3 linked regions of the Rhinolophus ferrumequinum genome follow. The protein of the gene in region 1 purifies or fractionates together with the protein of each later gene. This does not show direct contact. Links are inferred from orthologs where the notes say so. Each region holds a gene or a part of one and is shown in the gene's direction. Other genes may lie near its edges. The genes, in order: LRCH3, DYRK1A and SUGT1.

Region 1 (7,010 bases):
AGATCTATTCTAAAGCTGTTCATTTTTAACAAATAAAATCTTACAGTACTCACGTGATTTATTCTTAGCTGTAAAGATTGAGTTGTGGTTTTTAGATTGTTCTATTGTAAAACCTTTGTAGTGATTATAACTTTTAGGGTTTTAAAAGCTACCTACTAGCTAAATTGGTAAATCAATCTAGACTCATATTCAATCCCTCTAAACTGCCTTTTGACCATTTCATTCATAGCTCCAACAGGAAGTTGCCAGGAGGAGTTAAAATAGAGAGTCACATTTACTTAGAATGCAGAATATTGGCCTGGATGAGCCTTTAGAGATCATCTAGTTCATCCCCTCTTTTTACATCTTAGTTAAGTGAGACCTGGTTTTTCAAGACTTGTGTGGGGCAGTCACTTTTTGAGCTTAGATCTTTTAATTCTCAATTCATAATAAACTGTGAATTAAACACCCACAGAAAGTAGTGGAATGGTGTGTGGCTTGTCAGATACCTAAAAAGCGGTAAAACCAATACTTTAGCTTTTGTAGCATGGTAGGTAAATCTACCAGTAATGATTATGAGACTTCATTACTTCGGTATTCAAATTATGTAGACCTATTAGAAAAGGCCAGTGTTCCTAATCAGACTGCGTTTTTTTTTAACAGGCATAAACTTCACCACAATTTTAATTATAAACAAATCATAAAATACTTCTAAATATGAAGAAACATAGACTTCATTGACCAATGGTTATTTTTTTTGTTACAATAGATATGTATATCATTTTACTGTCAGTAGCTTTATAATTCACACATCCAGTATCAGGGTAATTTTTGTTCTTTTTAGGGGGAGGTAATTTTTCTGATTTATAAGGGGATAACAGAAAAATAGCTGACTTTGCACTAAAGAGAATTAATGCCATACGTTCTGAATGTAGGCAGTATTAGGGCAGAAAATGATTTTATTTTTGATCAGTATGTCTTTGAACTTTAATCAGAATTATGATTGTTTTTGCCACTGTAAAAAAAACAAAAGGCATGTAATTTTTAAACTTCCCTTTAAAGAGAGTTCTTTTTGCATGGGTCAGTTTGGAATCTGACCCTTTTTAAAAAGGATTAGCTGGAGAGAGCTATTGAGATTTGAATGAAACCTTTGCTCCTAACTTTCAGCCTGTAAAATGAACAGGAAGAAGCAGGGAAATTCTCTATATCTGTTCCTAACATTCAGTAACCCCCACTGCCTATATTTTTAACTCCTACTTCCAGACCACAGAGCAGTAGTGGAATAAGTTATAGATGCCTGTAACTCTTTTGCTCACAGCCTTTTTGCAATTGTTTCTCATCATGTCTTTTATGCATCACTAGACTCTGGTGAACTTCCCATAATGACTCCATTTCCTGTATCTCATTCTTGCAAAAGGATCTTGTCACTTGATTTGTGGAGATTGAGGGAGTAGAATGAGAATTCCCTCATATTCTACCTTTGCTTTATAGATGAAACCTCAAATCCCTAGAAGTCTCAAAACTCCTTGATCTATCCTTTTTTCCAGCCTTCTTTACCTAGGACTTGTTCTCGTATAATGGTATATATAGCACCTTCATTTTCCTTGTATCCACAAGCCTTTCTTTTGGCTTTCAGATAGCTACATACTTAAGTATCCTGTTCTAAAAAACTAATTTTTTCTCTCTCAACTTTCCTGTATTAGTACATAACCTCTACTGTGTTAGTACATAACCCATCTTCTGTCTCTGCTTCTTTCCACTATTTTTTAACTCCTATTAATATACTCAGCCCTGGGTTAGAGAAGATAAAGGTAGCTTAACATACTAAGGTCTTTAAAATCTAGTTGAATAGATAAAGTACTGTGTTTCCCCAAAAATATGAACTAGCCGGACCATCAGGTCTGATGCATCTTTTGGAGCAAAAATTAATAAAAGTCCCGGTCTTATTTTACTATAGTATAAGGCCGGGGCTTTAATATAATACAATATATAATATAATACTGGGTTTTATATTAAATTTTGCTCCAAAAGATGCGTTAGACCTGATGTTCTGGTTGGGTCTTATTTTCAGGGAAACACGGTAACATCAACTATAAACTTGGCGAGAAGTTCAGAGACCAAGGTTAACATGAAATGTTGCAATTATGAGATGTGCAGGTAGATAGGAATTAAACCATATTATGGAGAACTTGTCAGAAGAAGAATTTAATGTAAATGTGTAAGGTAATAGGTAATCAAATATAGATAATATAATGGCGCATTTTAGAAAGGTATCTGGCAACTTTCTGGCATTGTTAATATGGCATGTAGGATTATGCTTTTAATCATTGTAGTTGAAATACTGTATCTAAAATTATAAAATGAGATCCTACTCTAAAATAGCTTAAAATCTTTCTAAGAATAACAAAATTTCAGGTAGACCAGAATAACAAAAATCAATTCATGTAGTAGATAAATATTATTTGTCAGGGACAACAAACACATCACTTACTATTGCAGTGACCCATAGCTCATAAAGGGCATTGACAATTGATCATGAAACTTGTTGCTGAAGAACCTAGCATAGTATTGAGTTCAGAGAACAGCTATGAGTAGCCATTACTAATTAGCTTTGGCACTGAGATTAAACGTTTTTACAATCTCTTCCAATTTGGAGTTGAGGGAAGTGCTAACAAGGTTTTATTAAAGAGTTGGGCCTTGAATGGTGAGTAGGATCTCGCCAGCCTTAATTTCTTTACCTGTTTGACATGAACTTTTTGGTCTTGGGCCCTCATGTTCTCCACATGTACTGTTATAAATCATACCTAGGTGTGATCATGCTGATCCTCCGCAATCTGAAATATTGCTCTCACCTTCCAGCCTATCCCACTTCACAATCCAAATTTGATTCAAAACCTCATTCATCCACAATGTAAATTCTTTTCATTAAATTCTGATAATCCACCCCACCCCTACTCAGGCCTTTCTTGTCTTGATCTCTAATTGGTCTATTTGTCTGGATTCTATGATTAGATTATAATCTAGGGAAAGGACTATCTGACAGCCTCTTCTATTGCCCTGAGTAAAAAACTAGATGATTGATTGTAGGGGAAATTTACATCAATTGGCAGGAACAGCTTAAATGTGCAAAAGAAAAGATAAAATGCTCAAGACTGCAATATAACTGAAGTCTTAATTGGTTTAAAATGAAGTGGTATTTTCCACTTTTTCAGTAACTGGTTTCATTTTTTTACCATTTCTTTAGTTCTACCTTTATTTCTGACATTTAGATTATGGCCAGACCATTTTCTCTTCCTCAGTTTTTGTTTCAGACCAAAAATTCAGACTTGAATGCTGTTCATCTTGCTTAAAATCTTGCCTCAAGGACAACTACTTAAGATGTTTTATTTTTATTAAGAACTATTCCAGAAAAGGCAGGGAGGGAGGGCCTAAAATATTTCTACAACCCTTTCAATGAGAATTACGGAGTTTGGGATCCAGTTTAGCCCTTGTTTTCCCTCAGGCAATAATAGTAAGTCCACATGTCTCCATTTGGATCATTTGGTTTACAGAATGACGAAGTTGGGAAATGTTTTAGGTCGTATCCCAGGGTCCCCTTCTCTCACTGCCCAAGTTTCTGGCAGCAAGTGTTAGGAAGCCTTAACTTAATGCTTAATCCTCCTTAATCCTCCAGTACTGAGGGAAGACGACAGAGATGTTTTGGTGAGAAGCGTCTGAAAGATTTTTGTAGAGACATTTTAGAAATGCTACTGGAAATCTAGAATAACGGCTGCTCCAGATTTGTGAGTTCCGTTTTATTTTCGCTTGAAAACTTCGTGGGCGGAGGCAAGCGCTTGGATGTACGCAGCAGGACCGCAGCCCTGCCCATGAAGGGAACGGTTCGGGGTCTGTGTGCCCTTTCCCCGCCCACCCATCAGTTCTGGCCGCGCATGCGCTGCACCGGCGGGTCGGAGATTGTCGGCTGGGAAATGGCGGCCGCAGGCTTGGTCGCTGTGGCCACGGCTGCAGAATACTCTGGCCCAGCAGCGTCGGGAGCTAACCTCTCCGGTGTTAACTGCGGCCCAAGCTCCGGGGCAGGTCCTGGTCCTGGCCCGGTCTCGTGGAGCCGCTCCATCGATCGAGCGCTGGAGGAGGCGGCGGTGACTGGGGTGCTGAGTCTGAGCGGCCGGAAACTGAGGGAGTTTCCCCGGGGAGCGGCCAACCACGACCTGACGGACACCACCCGCGCGGGTGAGCTGGGTGGGGGTATCCCTGTCGTCTGGCGGCCCTTGGCGCGGCGGAAGGCCATTCCAGCCCGTGGGGGGACCCGGGGGGTGGTTACAGCAGTTGGTCCTACATCTCTTTATCGGGACCCGGGTAACGGGCAGAGGGCAACTTGCCCCAACCCACTCACCCCCCGGGCCTGCGGGCCAGATCCCGAGCCTGGGGTGAGGCGGACAGCGGCATCTCTAGAGGAAGAGGGCTGTAGGGGATTGATGGGTGGTGGTGTACTCTCCCAGTACAGTAACTTATGCCTCTGCTGGGGTAGACCCTTGCCCCGCCCCGGTTTCTGCAGGCCTTTTCGGATTTGAGATTCCAAGTTGACTTTGCCAAGATTTGGGATGGTAGCACACTGTTATTATATCAGAATAGCGTTTGTCGCTGCATTGTCAGGAATGCTTCGATCTCAGCGCTGGCGTTTTTTCAAAAGTTGTTTTTAATGTGAATCCGAACGTTGTAACTTTTCTTTTGCCACCGTTATCTAGTTGACTTACCAAATGTACTTGTAAACATAAGTAGAGCCTACCTTCAGATTCCATTACGTTCCTCTCTCATCATCGCCCCCCCAAAAAAAAAGTTGAAGGAAGAAAACTACTTATAAACGATACGTAGATTGCCTGCTATAGCTGTATTTAATGCTTTAAAAAAAGTTATTTTTGCTTTATACATATTTTTGAACAGGATATAATAAGGAATTAGGTTTTCTTAGTTGTAGAGAACAATGGTTACTGAGATGTTCAACACATGTTTCTCTTGTGTTTAAAATACAGCTTCCTCAGGGAGTAGATTAAAAACTGTGTCTATTCATGTTTTGCACAAAGGAGGAAAAAAATCTGTAACACAAGTTTCTATAGTATGATGTGGTGAAGTGTTTTATTTCCATATAGTATTTTTGCAACCAAAGAATACGTAGTACTTTGTGTCTTATATTTATTCCATTTTATTTATCTTATTTTAAAATCTTCAATTTAACACCTTCTTATGTTTGTGCACTCATTAAAGATTGGTATTACATATGTATGATTCACTCATGTTAGAAAAATAAACAACTGTTAAACTGCTTCAAGAAACTATTCTTTCCAAAGAAACTTTTGCTCTAGTGTAAAGTGGAAAAAATTCAGTGCCTACTTATTTAATTTTTGGAAACAGTTGTACTGAATGCCGTTTGTATTTTTTAGTGAATGATAATTAAGTTAAACTTTCTTGCTAAGGTAAATATGAACAGCCACTTGTCTTTGGCATGTGTTCTGATAGACAACATCTAAACTTGTCATTCATGCCCCATATCTTCTGATTCTGTTCAGGAGATGGCTGTATGGCATATGAGTATTCAGGAAATAGCGTAGCAATTTCATATTGGTGTGAGTCATTTCAGTATTACTATATTAAGCCTGAAGCTAAAGAACAAATTGATTAACAGGAGTTTATCTAGCTCATTATCTTAACCTGTTTTAAAATAGTTGTAGGACCAACATGTTTTGCCTTTAAGGAATATTTTATTAACTAACAAAGAAAACCCAAGGGCATTTATGAAGTCTAATAAGTAATCCCAATGAATTGTTCCCTTACTGTACTCTGAATTTTTAATTTGTTATTATCCACATTTATTACTTTAATAGTTTCTATATAAACCAATTTTTTGTTGGTTGACATTTTATCTGATCGAAAACTAAAAAAAGGACTACAAGGTATTTTATAACCTATTAGACTAAAATCATCTTAATATGTTAGAACTATAATTTATTAAGTATAAGAAATCTTTGGCAGACCTTGGTAAATACAAAAACACTGAACTATTCTCTGAATTATTGTAAACAGATAATTTGATGTGGATAAGATCATTTATTGAGTTGTCACTGCTTGCTGTTCAGTGTGTTAGGTGTTTTAAAATACATTGCCTTGTTAAATGCTTAAAACCAATCGAGTAAATATTATTATCCCCATTTTACATATGAGGAATCACTTAAAATTTGCAGATGAGAGGTCACTCAGAGAAAGTCATATAACTAGAATTAATGGTAGAATTTCAGCCCAGGTCCATCTAATTGTTTTCTCTGTACTATGCCACACAGCCTCCCTATGTATAGATAGGTATTTCCATTCCTGTTTTTGACAGATAGTAAACCCAAGGTTTGGAGAGAGAAGATAATTTGCTCAAAGACCTGTAGCTAAAGGCCAGGTAAGGTGGTATTAGCCAGTATTTGAACCTAGCTTGAGGTAACTTCAAAACCATAGTCCACCTGTTATACCAGGTACTTTGATTATTTTTTTCAGTTACAGTTGACATTCAATATTATATTAGTTTCAGGTGTACAGCATAGTGGTTAGACATTTATATAATTTATGAAGTGATCCCCCAATTAATCTAGTATCCACCTGGCACTATATACATAGCGGTTGCAACATTATTGACTATATTCTCTATGCTGTACTTTACATCCCCGTAACTGTTTTGTAATTACCAATTTGTACTTAATCCCTTCTCCTTTTTCACCCAGCCCCCAAACCCGCCTCCCATCTGGCAACCATCAGTTTGTTGTCTGTATCTATGAGTCTGTTTCTGTTTTGTTTGTTTATTTTGTTCTTTAGAGTCCACATACAAGTGAGATCATATGGTATTTGTCTTTCTCAGTCTGAGTTATTTCACTTAGCATAAACCCTCTTGGTCCATCCATGTTATCGTATACCAGGTACTTTGATGAATTCAGACTCAGTTTATGTTACCTAAAATATTCTGTTTAGACCCTATAGGAAATTTAAAGCCAAGAAAA
Region 2 (7,805 bases), about 52 Mb from region 1:
CAACAGTGTTAACGGCCATTACCTTGCTGTTACCATTACAGCCTTAGTGTATCTTTGTCTTCTAACTGGAAGTTTGTACCTTTTGACCACCTTCACCATTCCCCTCCCCGCAGCCAATTTTTGCTTTTAAAATTCTGGAAGTAAATTCAGACGTGGGAATGGACAGGCAAGATACGTTTGCTAGCCTTCATAAAAGGACTTTTGGCTCTTTGACCCTGCCCTTAAGCTGTTAACAGGGCATGTCGGTAGAAGGCTATTATTTTTGCATTTGGGACATAGAAGTTAACAGACTTGGACACACAGAGGTCCTGTCTAAATCTCTGTCAAATGAGAATGCCCAAATCTATAGTTTCTCAAACTGACTATACCTGGGCTGAGCTGCGGACTGTGCAAGAACACTGGTTTGAGAAGCACTGCTGTAACAGAACTAACCAGCTTCATGGTAATCACTGACATTGTATCTTCAGTGGGATTTTCGTCTTCCAGCTTTGCTGACTGCAACAATCTGTCCTCTGGTGCTAGAGAAATTCCATCCATTTTAAGATCAGAAGAGAACATTTCCTACTTGTCTACAAATCACTGGACAGTTTCCCTTCAAGTTTTCTGATTGCCAAAAACCTCATATAGGATGGAGGAAAACTGGAAGAAAATTGCAGGAGCTCATCATGCATTTAAAAATACAAAACAAAGTAGTATTTACAGTATGGCAGATATGGTGCTAGTGATACAAAGATGAAAATATAAGATCCTTGCCCTAAAAGCACTTGTAGTTGAGAAACAGTCAAACAAATATGATAGAATAAAGTACTACCACTGCTCTGACCACATAAATATCTTTTGAATTGAATTGAGGTAAAATAGGAAATATGTTGAAGACAGTAGCAGTAAATGCACATATTGATAAACACTGTAGGAATATTAAATGATGTCCACTACATACCTACATTAAAAAGCCAAGAAAATAAGCCAAATCTCTCAAGAACTGTTGAGCTAATGAACCATTCAAGTAAGCGATCTTTGTAGATTTCTGTGTCTCCTCTACCTAATTTAAATTCCATGTACTTAATTATTTTTCAGTTTCATTAGGGCATTTTCCCTCAAACTATTAATTTCGAGGAAGCTGCCATATATATGAATCAATATATTAAAGTGTATTTCTTTTTAAATCCTGACCAAATGTTGTAAAATACTTTTTCGGGATATTCCAAAACCATGCAATTAATTAATATGCTTTAATCTAACATTTACATTTTCTATTTAACCTTTATTTTGATGTCACAAAAAAGAAAATATTAAAGATAATTCATGAAATAATATTGGTAAACATTCTTACATGACAGGAAAGCAATACATATCATCCTCACTTTTAAAAATGACACCATTAGAACCACATCTTGCCATGAAACAACATTGTAAGCAACCTGATGATGCTTACCTGGGCCACGTGCTCTGCCATGCTCTGCCACGTGCTCTCCGTCATGGCAGAGCACGTGGTCCAGGTAAGAAGAGTGGGTTGGGTGAGGGCAGTGAAGCTGAGAGCAGGGAAGCCGTCTGGGCTAGACCCACTTGTCAGATGGCAAGGAATGGAGATGGTAACGGATAAATTGGGGTGATGGGTGTCTGGTGTTGATATCATACACTAGCCTAACAACAGCATATAGCCATCCAATTTCCTTCTTTTTTGCAGTAAAATTAGAAAGAAATCAACAAAAAGATGACACCTCTTCCTTTTCCCCTAAATGAGCTTGGGATATATACACAGGCAAGGACAAATAGCCAACAAGTATGTATATAAAAAAGAAGACATGAAATGGTCCAACAAATGCAAATTAAAACAAGAGTGGAAAAAAGTCATCCTCACGCTACTTTTGGGAGTGCAAATTGGTGAAATCATTTCTGAAGAATACTTTAGCGACACGATCAAAGCTCTTTAAGGATTCATGCTCTTATCCTAAGGAAATAACCAGACAGGTGTGGAAAATGTATATATGCAATGTTTATACAGCTTTATTTATGATAACCAAAAAGAGGAAAACTCTTTAAAAATAGAGGAGCAATTAAATGAATTATGGCCCATTCAACTGATGGAATACTTGTAGCTGTTAAAATAATTAAGTTTCAGTTGATTAACACCAAACACGTTCATAATTGCAAGTAAAAAAGGCATAAAACATACCTACATGTGTTGCGAGTGTGTGCACATGCGTGTTTCCCTAAGAATGTCTGGGAGGATATATGCCAATATGAAGATATGAGTGAGGTTTATCTCTGGGTGACATCTATGAATAATCTTTTTTTAAAAATCTATGAATAATCTTTATCTCTTTGTTTTCCCTATTGTAAAACTGTTTCTCATGTCCACATGTTACTTTCATTTTTTGTGTTTGGACCTCAAGTGTAGAGAACTGAGTATTAACTTCTTGGTTCATAGCATGCTATCATTATCAGTTTAAATAAGGCCCCTCTCTTGGTTTATTTTGTTTCCTTTTAATCTGTTTCATACACTTGACTAACTTTTACAATCAGAACTAACAATAAAGCTTATACAAGGGGAGCAATGAAGGAGCTTTACTCAGAAGTCTGTAAGAAGTGCAGCGCTGTCAGATTCTGGCTGCGCCACTGTCCAGGGACGAATTGTAAAACTGTTCCCCTTCTAACCTGGTGTGAGGGGCAGTCGTAGGAACATTCGTTTCTTTGTCCTTGGAATGTTTGGGTTATAACTCGTGGGGTTCTGACTTCTGAACTTTTGAGCTTCGTATAGTGTATCACCTAGTATGGTCATTAACAGGTGTGGAACCAAACAAAAAAACCAGCATCTTGGTTAGAATCTGCATGTTAGTTTGCTCGGGCTGCCATAACAAAGTACCACAAATCAGGTGGCTTAAACAACAATTTATTGTATCACAGTTCTGAAGGCTAGAAGTCCAAAATCAAGGTGTTGGGGGAGGCTGTGAGGGAGAATTTATTCAATCCTGTTTCCCAGCTTCTGCCAGCCTTAGGTATTCCTTGGCTTGTGGATGGCATTCTCTCTGTGTCTTCACGTTGTCTTCCCCGTGTGTATGTCTGTTTCTGTCCATATTTCCCCGTTTTATAAGGACACCAGTCATATTGGATTAGGGCTCGCTCTAATGATGTCATCTTGATTACCTCTATAAAGACCTGATATCCAAATAATCTTGGATCGTCTTGGTGTGGTAGAAATGGGCTTTGCAATTACACCTGGGTTTGAATCTTGGCTTCACCACTTACTGGTGGTGTAACCTGGGAAAGTTATTTACTCCGGGTTTGTTTTCTCATTTGTATAATGGGGATGAAATGTTTCTATGAGGATTAGACATACCCTAGAATGTACTGGATTAGTGGAGGCTGTTATTATCTGTGAGTTGGGTGGGGTCTTTGCTTTTATAGTTTAACTTCTATGAATAGATACATCAGTCAGTGGATGTGATGAGATTCTCAGATGACAGCAAGGATTCAATCGCTAAACCTAGTCAACACTAAACTGGCATCTGAACCAGAGTCCTTCCTGCCTATTTGTTTACTTGTTTTGGGCCAGCATAATTTATAGGTTACTTTTTAGGTGAAGCCTATTAAAACCACTTTACAGCATTTCAACCTGGACATGACAGTGACAGTTCATTGATCAATGTTGTGTAAGACTGTCACATGGGTGGGGGTGGGGCTGGCCCTGTGTGGTTGAGAGGGAAGGGTGCAGCCTTCTAGATATGAAGACCAGAAATCCCTTCAATTACTGCATGATTGTAAGCTCAAGATTTTGCCTCACCCTTATAATCTTCTAGATTGATTTGACTGAAGACAAGGGCCCATTTCTTGAGACACTGTCATATTGTTTCCAGGTTATCTAAAAAATTAATTATGCAAGTTTCCTTCATTACCACCAATAAAAATTTGACTCAAATTTAACTTCAGTGTTAAAGGTTGCTAATGCTCCAGTGCTTATGATAGAAGTGAAACTGGTGAATGTGGTGGGGGTGGGGAGCAGGGAGAAGAAAACCCCGAGTGGGGGAGGGGTTGGTTATATAGGTGGACGTGAGTCTGGGAGGAATTAAGGTAGCGATTTCTCACCTCAACATGGACCCTCTTGGCCAGTTTCTTCAAAACAATCGGGCTGAACGTGGACTTTAATTGCATTAGCAGGGCAATTTTGAAAAAGTCGGCAATCCAAAAGAATTTGTGAGTCATGGCAACTTTTTATACCACGGAGGAGAATCAGCCTGAAGTAAGCTTTTTGCCCGACTACTTTTTGTCTCATTTATTTCAGGTTTGGTCTGATTTCTTTCAGGGCCTGTGCTAATTTGAATGGTTGCCTTAAGTGTATCAATGTTCTTATCACTGAAGGAGGGAAACATTTGTTGGAAACCATTTAAAGCAAGTGTCTTTCCTTGAGTTACATAGGATAGAACCAGTATTTATTACAGGATTGTTATTCTTTACTAAGATTGTATCTGTTGCTACTGTATTTGTGAACAGTTTAAGCTTAAGAAAAAATTGATACGAACACTATTATATGATGGCAAAAACCAAACTTAGAAATCAATCAATAAATTAAGTGTCTTGGTGTAAAATAGTATCTGTTATCCTTTTTAACGTAACACTTAAGTGCCATTTTATTAGGCTTGGTACAAAATACAATTTTTAGCCAGTGGCTGTCTATTGATTACAAAGTACCCAGCACAGCATGGCTACTAGCACAGCTAGGTTTTAATGCCTGGGGGGCGGGGGGTAGGGACACATACCAACATTTAAGCAGAAAGGGTAGATATAATAAAAATACATGAAAGCCAGAATATTAATAAAGAATTGTGGGCGAATTCAGAATCTGGAAACTGAGATGGTACATGAAAAAGAAAACGGTGTTGGGCAACAAGGATACAGTAATAGGTCGTGTTAATTTAGGGGGTTATTCCGATCGAGAAGGCAGCGCCCAGCAAGGTGGGTAGAGGTCTGAAATAGGTGGGAAAGCCAGGGAGAGCGTGCACAGCCTAAAAAGTTTTTATGATGGTTCCGTCCACAATTTCTGAACGTTGGCGTTGGTGGCTACACAAACCGTGTGGCATGATTTAATCAAGGTGTCAGCCGCAGGGGCATCCCGGATTCGGGCGAAGCGTCCGGAATTCCTGAGATGTCTGAAACGCGGAGGCGGCCTCTTCCCCACCCCCAGCCGCGGCCTCCGTGGGCATTTTCCGGCGAGGGGGGCACGCGAGCCCTTCCAAGAACAGTTTAAACGCGCGGACGTGCGCACCCTGGCTGCCTTCCCTCGGCTGGCGCGCTACCGTGAAACGAAGGTGAGAGCCCTGGGCCAGGGCGCGCGGGGGTGGGCTTCCGGGGGTCCCCACGCGGCCGCAAAGCCCGACCCCCCTCCCCCCGGCGCGGGCGGGGCTGCGGGCGCACGACGCGGAAGCGCAGGGCTCCGGGGGTGGCGGCGCAGAGGCCGCGCGCGCTCCTCTGCCCGCAGTCGGCGCGGGCGCGGGGCGCGGCCAGGCGGCAGGGGAGGCGGCAGGCGCTCGCTTACGGGCCGGGCCGCCGCCTCGCCCCCCTTCCTCTCCCCTCCCTCCGCCCTGCCATCCTCCTCCTCTCCCTCCCCCGAGCGAATCACGCGCCCTCCTCTGACACTCGTAGCGGGCCCGAGCTCCGAATTTATCCTTCACGTGACCTGAGGGGGTTGGGTGGTTGGTTGGGTACGGAGGGGGAGAACTAAAGGAGGGAACGGAATCTGCCGTTGCCGGAGCAACAGGCCCCGCCCAACGGCTTGAGCCGGGGGGCGGGAGGAGGACGTTAGCACGTCAGCCGGGGTTTTGCGTTTTGATTGACAGTTGCTATAGCGACCGGGTCGGTCCGTCGCCATTTTGTTGGTTGGTTTTTTTTTAAACCCTTTCGCTTCCCGCCCGAATAATAATAAAAAGCCCCATTGGAGTGAGGCGGGGGTGGCGGCGGCAAGAGCGGCGGGGGGATCCGGGGAGACTGCTGCCGTCGCTGCTGCTGATCGCGGCTCAGGTCGGGCTCAGGGAGCGGACACCCCAAACGGGGGGTGCGGGCGCCGCCGCCGCCGCCGCCGCTTCTGCTGCTGCTGTTCCTGCTGCTGCTGTTGGTGCCGCTGCCGCCGCCGGCGAGCGGGCGGGACCGGTGTGAGTGTGAGAGTGTGTGTGTGAGTGAGCGTGTGCGAGGGCGAGTGTGCGTGCGTGTGTGTGTGTGAGTGTCTGTCTGTCTGTGCAGGGACTCGGGGGCGGGCGGTTCGGGCTCTCCTGGCGGAGGAGCCGCCGCCGCCGCCGCCGCTCGGGCCCCGGCGCTTCTCGCTGCGCAGGTTTGGAGCGCGCGCCATTTTGTGAGATTTACAAAATCCTCCTCGAGAAGAAGCCGCCGGGAGCGGTCGCGACTCGGCGCCCGGCCTCGCCGCCGCCGCCCTCCGCGCCGGGCCGGGCCGCGCGGCCCCGCCGCCGGGAGTCGGGGTCCGGGGACTGCGGTATTTGCCGGGGAGGGGGCTGTCGCCTCCCCGGCCCCGGGCGCCGCTGGAACCGCGAGCCGGAGAGAGACTGAGAAGGTTGCGGCTCGGCCGCGGAGCCGGGAGCGCCGGGGGCGGAGAGCGGCGACCCGGGCGGCGCTGGCTGCGGAGGCCGCGGCGGGAGCGCAGCGGCGGGAGCCGGAGGCTGAGACTCACCGGAGGGAGCGGCGCGAGCGCCCCGCCATCGTCCTGGTGAGTGTCCGGCCGGGCCGCGGCCCCGCCCGGCCCGGCGCCCGGCTCCCCCCGCGGCCTGCAGCCGGGCCCGCGCCGAGGCCGGCCGGGCGGAGGGAGGGACCTGCCATTTTAGGAGGAGGCGCCGCGGCCCGGGGCTGGCCGCCGGGGGAGGGAGCCCGACTGGCCCGGTCCCGGAGGAGAGGCGGGTGCGAGCGGAGGGAAAGTTGCGGAGGGTGGGAGCAGGGGCCGCGGCCTCCCGGGAGCCGGGGCCTGGGGGCTGGAGAAACCGCCAGACCTTCACTGGTCGCCCGAGCAAAGGGGAGGAGGTTGTCTTCCTCCTCCTCCTCCTCTTCCTCCTCATCCTCTTCCCCCAGCTCCTCCCTCGTCCCTCCTCTTGGTCCCCTCCAGTGTGGGAACCGCCGGGGTTCTCCGCAAGGACAATGTACGGGTTAAGAAAATGGGGCTGGCTGCTGGGCGAGGCGCCGGGGAAGGTCGGGAGCCGGGTGCCTCCGCGGCCCTTTGGGGTGTGTGTTGGAGCGAGGGCACTCGGCGGGCTCTGAAGTTGTGCCGTGAGTGCAAGTGATCCCGGCCACTCGAGGGGGAGTGATGACCTGTTTAGCAGCCGGAGGAATTGGTGGTTGAGAATTCGTAAATTATAATTGATATCTGGGTATTGCAGCAAAACTTCACAAGTCTATTCCCAGATACAAAGCTACTCTCACTTAGATCCACCGAAACTGCTGAATATCTTAACACTTAGCGAAAGGCCCCTCCCCGAAATAGTTAAAAATGGCAAAATCAGTGAGTGATGGACTCCAACTATTTGGCTATGCCTTTCATCCAACCCTCGATTATAAGAATATTGTAATCTAGGTTCCTCACTTGAATGTGAGCACCGTTTGGTTCTTGAATTCCGCCCAAATTGTCAAAAAAAAAAAATACACCTTAAAACGTTGTTTTCACACTGATTTAAAAATTTGGACGAAGAGCGCCATTCATTATTCTCAGAGCTTTATTTACATAAACAAGCTTATCCTACTGGTAGGAACTGTTACCCATTTCACAGATGGGGAAATTGCTGTGACTCATCCAAGGTCATACAGCTGGGACT
Region 3 (7,755 bases), on another chromosome or scaffold:
TTTGAATTTCAGAATCAGTTTGTCAACTTCTAAAATGGAAAAATCCTATGCATTTTGCTTGGGATCATGTTGAATCTATGGGCCAAGTAGGGAAGAACCAACATCTTAATATTGAGTCTTCTGACTCATGAACGTAGAGTACCTCTCCATTTGTTTACGTGTTCTTTAATTTCAGCAATGTTTTGTAATTCTCAATGTATATGTTTTGCACATACTGTGTCAGATTTTTCAGTCTAGTATTTTTGATGCCATTGTAAATGTCATGGTTTTTTAAGTTTCAAATTGGTTGTTCATTTATTTTGTTTTAAATCGTTTCCCCCCTATTTTATTGAATCATCAAGTGCACAAATCTTAAGTATACAACTTGATAAAATTTTACATCTGAACACATTGGTGTAATTACCACCCAGGGTATGTAACATTTCCTGCATCCAAGAAGGTTCCCTCATGGCTCATCCGAGCCAGATCACCCTCTGATGTTCCTCACCATATAGTTTTTTGTGTTTTTTTAGTATAAGTGCTGCTGAAGTGAGCACTTTTGTGTTTTTTTAAATCTTCATATAAATGGAATCAATCAGGATGTACTCTGTCTGGCTTCTTTAAACATTATTTGTGATGTTCATCCATACTGTTGTGTGTATTGGTAGTTCATTCTTAATCATTGCTCTTTAATGTTTTTCTCCTGTGAAAAGACATTTACGTTATTTCCAGGTTTTGGTATGTGAATAATGCTGCAATTCAATCTTCTTGTACAGGAACTTAAGTACTCTTTTCTCTTGGGTATGTGCCCATTGTAAGAATTAATGGGCAATAAGGTATATGTATGACTAGTATTAATAGTGTCAAAAAGTTTTCTAAAGTAGTTATAGTAATTTATACTTCCGCTAGCAATATATGAAAGTTTTAGGTGTTCCATATCCTTACCAATGCTTGATACTGGAATTCGTTTTAATTTTAAACATTCTGGTGGGAGTGTTTAGTATTGTGATTTTAATGTCAGTAATATAGTTATTGATAAAGAATTTTTCATACGCATATTGACCGTCTAGAGAACATCTGAAAATGAACCAATGTAATTCACATTAACATGTGAAAGAAAAATACATATGAATTTTTCAGTGCAGGCATTAGATATTGAATGCTTTCCCCTGATGCTACAACCAAGAAAGGAAGTCCATTATCACTACTTGTATTCAACACTAGAGCAGATCTCCTAGCCAGTGACAGATGGCAAGAAAAATAAAAGATCTAATGATTGCACAGAAAGACATTAAACAATCTTTATTCACAGATGACAAAATTGTGATCACAGAACTTCTAAGAGAATCTACAGAGTATTAGAAATAATAAGGGAACTTAGCAAGATGGCTGAATATAAGGTCAATATGTAAAAATCAGTAGTTTTTATATACTAGCAACAAATAAGTAGATACAAAAAATTTTAAAAGCCATTTAAAATAGCATTAAAACCAAATACCCAAGATTTAAATCCAGTGAAATCTATGTAAGAACTTTACACTGCAACCTACAAAGCACTGCTGAGAGAAATGAAAGACCACTTAAACAAATGGAGGGGTGTACGATATTCATGGATTGGAGGAATCATCATTAAGATGTCAGTTTTCCCCAACTAGATCTATAGCTCCAATGCAACCCCAATTAAAATCCCAGCAAGGTTTTGTTTGGTTTTTGGACATTGACATGCTCATTCTAAAATTTATAAATAAATAGAAATTTGCAAAATTTATAGGATAATGGAAATACCAAAGGACTTAGAATAGCCAAGGTAACCATGTAACCGGGTAGAAAAAGTTATAGGACTTCAGGACTTTTTATAAAGGTTCATGAATTAAGACACTGTGGTACTGGTACAAAGTTAGACAAACAGACCAATGGAATAAGAACCTGGAAACAGACCCACATATATATGTAGTCATTACTTTACACAGTTGCCCTAAGAATTTAGTGGGGAAATGACAAATGGCGTTCTTGTCAATAAGTAGGGCTGGGTCAACTGGGTATGCATATGGGGGGGTAGGTAATGAACCTTGATTCCAACTTCATTCCTTTCACAAAAATTAATTTGAGATAAATCATAGATCTGGATAAGTGGGGTAAAACAATAAAGCAGCTAGAAGAAAACACAGGAGAATATCTTCATGGCTTTGGCATAAGCAAAGCCTTATTATGTATGATATAAAAAGCATTGATCATAAAAGATCAGCAAACCCAGACAGTTTACCTCAAATAAATATTTCTGTAATTCTTACCTTCTTCTCCATCCCTACAATCACTGATTTAAGAGTCACTTTGGCCTGTAAACCAATTGTCTCCCAACAGCTATTCTCCTTTCCCCTTTAATCATTCTTCCACAGCAAAGATAGAATAATGTACTTAAAAATGCAAACTTGACTGTTAATGCCTTTTTTGATTAAAAATCCTTATAATGGGTTAGCATTATTAAGAGAATCCCATCCGGGCAGCCGGTTAGCTCAGTTGGTTAGAATGTGGTGCTCTTAACAAGGTTGCCACTTCAATCCCTACATGGACCACTGTGAGCTGTGCCCTCCACAACTAGATTGAAACAACTACTTTACTTGGAGCTGATGGGTCCTGGAAAGGCTGTCACGCGGGGCGGCCTGCGGGGTCTCTGGTCCCGCTCCCCACATAAGAACGCAGGATATGGCTAGGCCAAAAAGGAACACCCACGGAGCCATAGGTAGGGAAGTCATACCAGTATAGTCTCACTGGAGGCTGGATTCACACGATGTGCGACCTGCTGTCCGCTTTTCTGCCAACCGACCGACGACTCTCCTCGACTCCCCAATGTAGCCGCGGCAGTTACATTAGTGGCCAATGGCTCACTGGTTACAGCTGATGGCCATCTACTACCCAAGCCAGCACCTTTCCACGTGAGGCCGAGAGCCTGGAAACTGCTCTCTGGGGCTCTGTCCCCACAAAGCCACACTTAAAATAAGTTTTTTTTTTTTTTTAAAAAGGAGAATCCCATCCAAGCTTCTGAGCAGACCACACACCTAGCTATCCCTTCCTGACCTGACATTTACCTACCTCTCCAGCAAGTCTGCTTCTAACTTGAATTCTGGCTCTACCCATTTTTAGAGTTCACATTATCGTTTTCCAACACACGTCCTATTCTGTCTGAATTACCGTTTCCACTTGCATGATCGACTGAGTCTAACTCCCCGTCTGAAGGCTGCGACTCAGGTATCACAACTCTGAGGAATCCATATACCTTCTATTCCAAGTGCGCCTTCCTGCTCTCACGTGATTGACTTCCCGATTTCACGTTAGCGCTTAACAGCATTGGTTTAAGTTTCTGGAAAGCACGACATCTTTGAATCCTAGGGCTGAGTTTAGATTTTTGGATGTGGTAGGCACTCAAGTTTATTTACTTGTTTACCTCTACTTGTAGTCAGTGGTCAGTAAGCCTGGAGCCTGCAGCTGGGGACAACATCCTCGAGCCACATTCCCCCACTAATAAGAAACAGTGAGCAGAAGATTCATAATTACAAGAGAGAGAAGCCGGCCCAGGAAGTTTCTAAAGTCGCGCATGCACAATAATTAAAACAGTTGTCCTATAGTTCACTTTTCCTCATTATCATGCTTAAAAACACCTGTAGGGGGAGATTTAAGATTGCTGATGAGACACGCCATGCACGGCAGGTAGGAGCACGTAGGAGCACTGTGCAGGCGCAGTGTAGACGTGCCCCGACATACTTTGGGGAGGGGAAGAAGAGGAAGGGGTTGCCCCCAACCTCAAGAGCCTATAAAACCGCTGTACCTGTCAATCTCGGGGAGCCACACGCATTCTCCTTCAGCGTGTGCTCCCTTGGTGTATCAAGCTTTTGCTTTAATACACATTTCTCTCTGCAAAACTGTTTCGCCCCCTCTTGATTTCTATCCTGAGAGGGGGCAAGGACCCTGCACCGGTAACATACTAAGCCACTTACTCCCACGCCCTCTTGCTCCCCCCCACCCCACCCCCCGTGGAACTTGCTGGAAGCTTCTATCTGATCCGCAAGCATCAAAGGCCGGTGAGGGAGGCGCTGACCGACTAGGGTGGAAACTAAAGCAGCTCTGAGACACCTTCAGGCCACCTTCTTCCCTTCCGATGGAACAGGTTTTTCTTAATCTGGGAAGCCACTTGGGGAGAAAACCTGGGCCTGTGGAGTTCTGGGTAATGGAGTCGTACACCCGCCCCGGAACGAAAGACCTCCTTCTGTCCCGCTGCTGCGAGGGCAGAACAACTTCCGCTCAGTCCCACTCCGTTAGGGTTCCCAGCGCACAGATCCCGGGAAGCCAGGCGCCATCCGGGAACTTTGTGTCGGACGAGCACGAGCGGCCAATGACGTCACGGGGCAGGAAAGACTTTGGCTGCCTCTTGTAACCTTGATACCTGGTGACTTGTGAAAATCGAGCGCCAAGTGGCTTGTGTTATTAACAGACATACAAAGGCCCCCAAACGCCACTCGTTCCCAAGTGCCTGTCAGCTGCCACCCGTGAAGGCTCCGTCGGGCTGCGGGGTGCGCGGTGGAAGCGACCGCAATGGAAGCGACCGCAAACCTGAACAGTCGAGGCCTCTGTCACCATGGCTGCGAGAGGCGGGGTCTGGGAGCGCGGTCACGGAGGCCGGGTCAGCCGGCAGGCTCGGTCCTCCACGATCCCAGCCGGCCTCGCGGCCGCCTCGCGCCGCCCCTCCCCCCGCGGCACGCTGCGTGGGTGCTCGTTGGCTATTTAGGACGGAAGCTCGGCTGGTGTGTCTCCAGAAGTTTCCCCCTTGGGCGGCCGCGGACCTGGTCACCTCGGTAGCGGCAGCTCCGGCGGCGGCGGCGGCGGCAGCGGCAGCAGTGACTGTTAGGGATGGCGGCGGCTGCAGCGGGACCTGCAACAGCCCAGCTGTGTGTGTCTTCTCTTTGCTATTTATGGTTATCCCCCTTTCTCCGGTTCCTTGGTTAGTGAGCCCGGCTGAAGTTGTTGTGTTCCTGGCAGGTTTTTCCGGAGCTTCTCAGATGCTCTGATCGACGAGGACCCCCAGGCGGCGTTAGAGGTGAGAGAACCCGTCTCAGCCTCCTGGACTGTCCTTCGGGGAACGAGGCCGACCCCTCCTCTTGCCAGCAAATGCCTTCCTGGGACCGGGGGTGGGGGGGGGGGGCTGTGTTTGCTGTGTCTGAGCCCTGGTGTTGACAGCCTCCCGCTCTCCTTTCCCTGTTCCACAGTGGCCCCCTTACTCCACGCTGTTCTTGTCCCCTCCGACTCCCGGACCGTTTCTGCATCCTAGCAGCTCCTTAGAAAAACCTTGTCTGTTTCTGTAGTTGAGATCCATGCATAGTTGGTCTGGAAGGATTTTTTTTTTTTAATGACATGTGACTAGGACAAAAAGTGACATCTAGGCTTGATGGTATTTGTTGAATTCGGCTTTTCGTTTGACAATCATCCTTGCCATTCTTATGTACCAGACAATATCCTGAGTGTATGAACTCAAACTTCTGGAATGAAACCCCTTTCCCTCTGTGTCCCTGAAAATTTCCACATGTCCTGCCACTGTTCGGTCTTCATTTGTTTATTCATTAGAACAATATTTTTTGGAGATGCTGTGTGCAAGGCACCAATTGCTATTGATTAAAGGCTTATTGAGATATTTAACTGACTTAACAAGGCCTTTTGTGTGAAGTGAAAGACTATAAAGCCATAAAAGAAAGTAAAAGGGCAAGAGTTAAATAATTGTAGAAAGTAATAGGATACGTGATACAGGGGATCACAAAAATTTAACCAGGGGTTTCTTGCTTTGAAGCATGAGGAAAAGAAACCAAACCCTCTAACATACCTAAGGTTAGCATTTGGAGGCAAGAGAACTTCTTTTTAGCTATGACTTCTAGAAATAATTTGCCACATGGTAGTAGAGTCTCTCTGAGGTGACATTTGAGTAGAGACCTGAGGGAATGAGCTGGGAAGCTCTGGAGAAAGAGCGTTCCAGGTAGAAAGAGGAGCCAGTGCCAAGGTCCTGAGGTCAGAATGAAACTGGCCTGTACAAGCAGCAGCAAAAACTCCCATTTGACTAGAGTGGGGTGAAAAGGGAGTATGGGCTCAGGTGGGGAGGAAATAATGAGCTGGGTCCCTTAGTGCCTTTTAGGTCCGGGTATGTTTTTTGGATTTGCATCTGAAGGCCTTCAAATAAAGTAGTCCCGCTCCTAGTGAGGCTTCTTGCATTAGAGTAATGTTACAGGAGACACTGAGAATTTTTCTCCACAATTCCTTAGGTTAGCTAGATAGCTATTTACAGACTTAGTGATGGTCTTAGACCCAGTGCCTCCTTTGGAAATCAAGTTTATATAAAAGTTGCTTTTAAAGGTGATTGATGTCACTTTCCATCTCACTTATTTTACTTTTTAATTTTTTTATTGAAGTATGCTATATGTAAATAACACAAATCTGAAGTCTGCAACTAATGAAGTTTAGTTTGTATGTGTGTATGACACCCAGATCAAGATAAAGGCCACTTTCATCTTCAAGGCGTTCTCATGCTTCTTCTTTGCCAATAATTCCCCTTTCCCACCAGGCAACCCTTATTCTCATGTCCAACACCATCGGTTAGTTTGCTTGTTCTTGTATTTCATGTAAACAAAATCCGTTGAGTGTAGGCTCTCTGTCTTGCTTTAAACGTGTGAGATGCATTCATATAATTGTGCGATTCTTTTTCATTGCTGTGTAGTATTCCATTGTATAAATACAGCATAATTGATTTTAATAGGCAAGGAATCAGACTGCTTGTGTCCAAGTCTTGGTTTCACAACTGTGTAATCTCAGGTACATTTCTGTTATCATTCCGGATCAGAATTCCTGTCTCTAAGATAGATCCTATTTGAAAAGGTTATTATGAAGGTAAGTAATATAAAGTGCCCAGTAATGTAAGGAGGCCCATGAGATAAGCAGCTTGTAGTTTCTTTTCCTCTCTCTGTCCTAGCCACGCTGGCTTTCTTCGGGTTACTTGAATGTGTCATGCTCAGTCCTGTTGGAAGGTCTTTGGACTTGCACTTTCTTTTGCCTAAAATGTACTCTCTCTCCATCTTTCTCATGTTTTTCTTGGGGATGCTCATAATTTTAGATTTCAGCTCAAGTGTCACCTTGGAGAAGCTGTCTTCTCTGACCACGCTGTTCAATTTCGGCCCTAATGTAAGCATCGAGAGAGGAGGAATTCTGTGTACCTTGTTTATCACTGTGTTCTTAGTGTAGTGCCTGGGATCTGGTAGGCACTCAGATGTGTGAAATGACTCTTACCATAATTCTTGCAACAACTTCGAGGTGGGTATTTGCATTTTCTAACAAGGAAGCCAAGGCTAAAGAGATTAACTTGCTCAAGGGTGGACAGTTTAGAAGTGATGTCTGCGGTTTCAGTGCATTGGCCATCCTCTGGGGGAGGGGGTAGGATGTGTGATACAGTGAACAGTGTGGGAGCTGACCTTGAGGTGGCTGACCACAGATAGCTTTGTGGAGAGGATAGCCGGTTGGCAGACATGCACGTTGGCAGCAGTGCTGCATGGTTATGTTTTTTCTCCAGCGGTATTAGGTAGTTTAGGAAGGGAGAAGGGTTGATATTGTTTACTATCCATAATTGGGGATTAGCTGTGGCTGGAAGAAAACAGAAAATGGAATCGAATTGAGTTGCCCAGAGCTGAAGGTCTTCAGATGTTCGGTCAATCTGAGCAGTCTGCTTTTGCTTTTAACCTTAACAACCAG

What was found.
Region 2: the proteins of LRCH3 (region 1) and DYRK1A purify together in Homo sapiens (affinity purification with mass spectrometry; 3 studies listed by BioGRID and IntAct, counting the BioPlex papers as one, with this or other methods). This does not show direct contact. The link is inferred for Rhinolophus ferrumequinum from reciprocal best matches to the Homo sapiens genes LRCH3 and DYRK1A.
Region 3: the proteins of LRCH3 (region 1) and SUGT1 purify together in Homo sapiens (co-immunoprecipitation; 3 studies listed by BioGRID and IntAct, counting the BioPlex papers as one, with this or other methods). This does not show direct contact. The link is inferred for Rhinolophus ferrumequinum from reciprocal best matches to the Homo sapiens genes LRCH3 and SUGT1.

The regions. Positions count from the first base shown.
Region 1 is NC_046285.1:50,211,000-50,218,009, reverse strand, and holds the start of LRCH3 (DISP complex protein LRCH3), read left to right. Parts: upstream 1-3,911; 5' UTR 3,912-3,947; coding exon 3,948-4,209; intron 4,210-7,010. UniProt on the Homo sapiens protein: As part of the DISP complex, may regulate the association of septins with actin and thereby regulate the actin cytoskeleton.
Region 2 is NC_046285.1:102,489,514-102,497,318, forward strand, and holds the start of DYRK1A (dual specificity tyrosine-phosphorylation-regulated kinase 1A), read left to right. Parts: upstream 1-4,742; 5' UTR 4,743-5,306; intron 5,307-5,664; exon of another isoform or gene 5,665-6,712; intron 6,713-7,805. UniProt on the Homo sapiens protein: Dual-specificity kinase which possesses both serine/threonine and tyrosine kinase activities. Exhibits a substrate preference for proline at position P+1 and arginine at position P-3.
Region 3 is NC_046287.1:9,065,242-9,072,996, forward strand, and holds the start of SUGT1 (protein SGT1 homolog), read left to right. Parts: upstream 1-4,747; 5' UTR 4,748-4,881; coding exon 4,882-4,919; intron 4,920-5,010; coding exon 5,011-5,068; intron 5,069-7,755. UniProt on the Homo sapiens protein: May play a role in ubiquitination and subsequent proteasomal degradation of target proteins.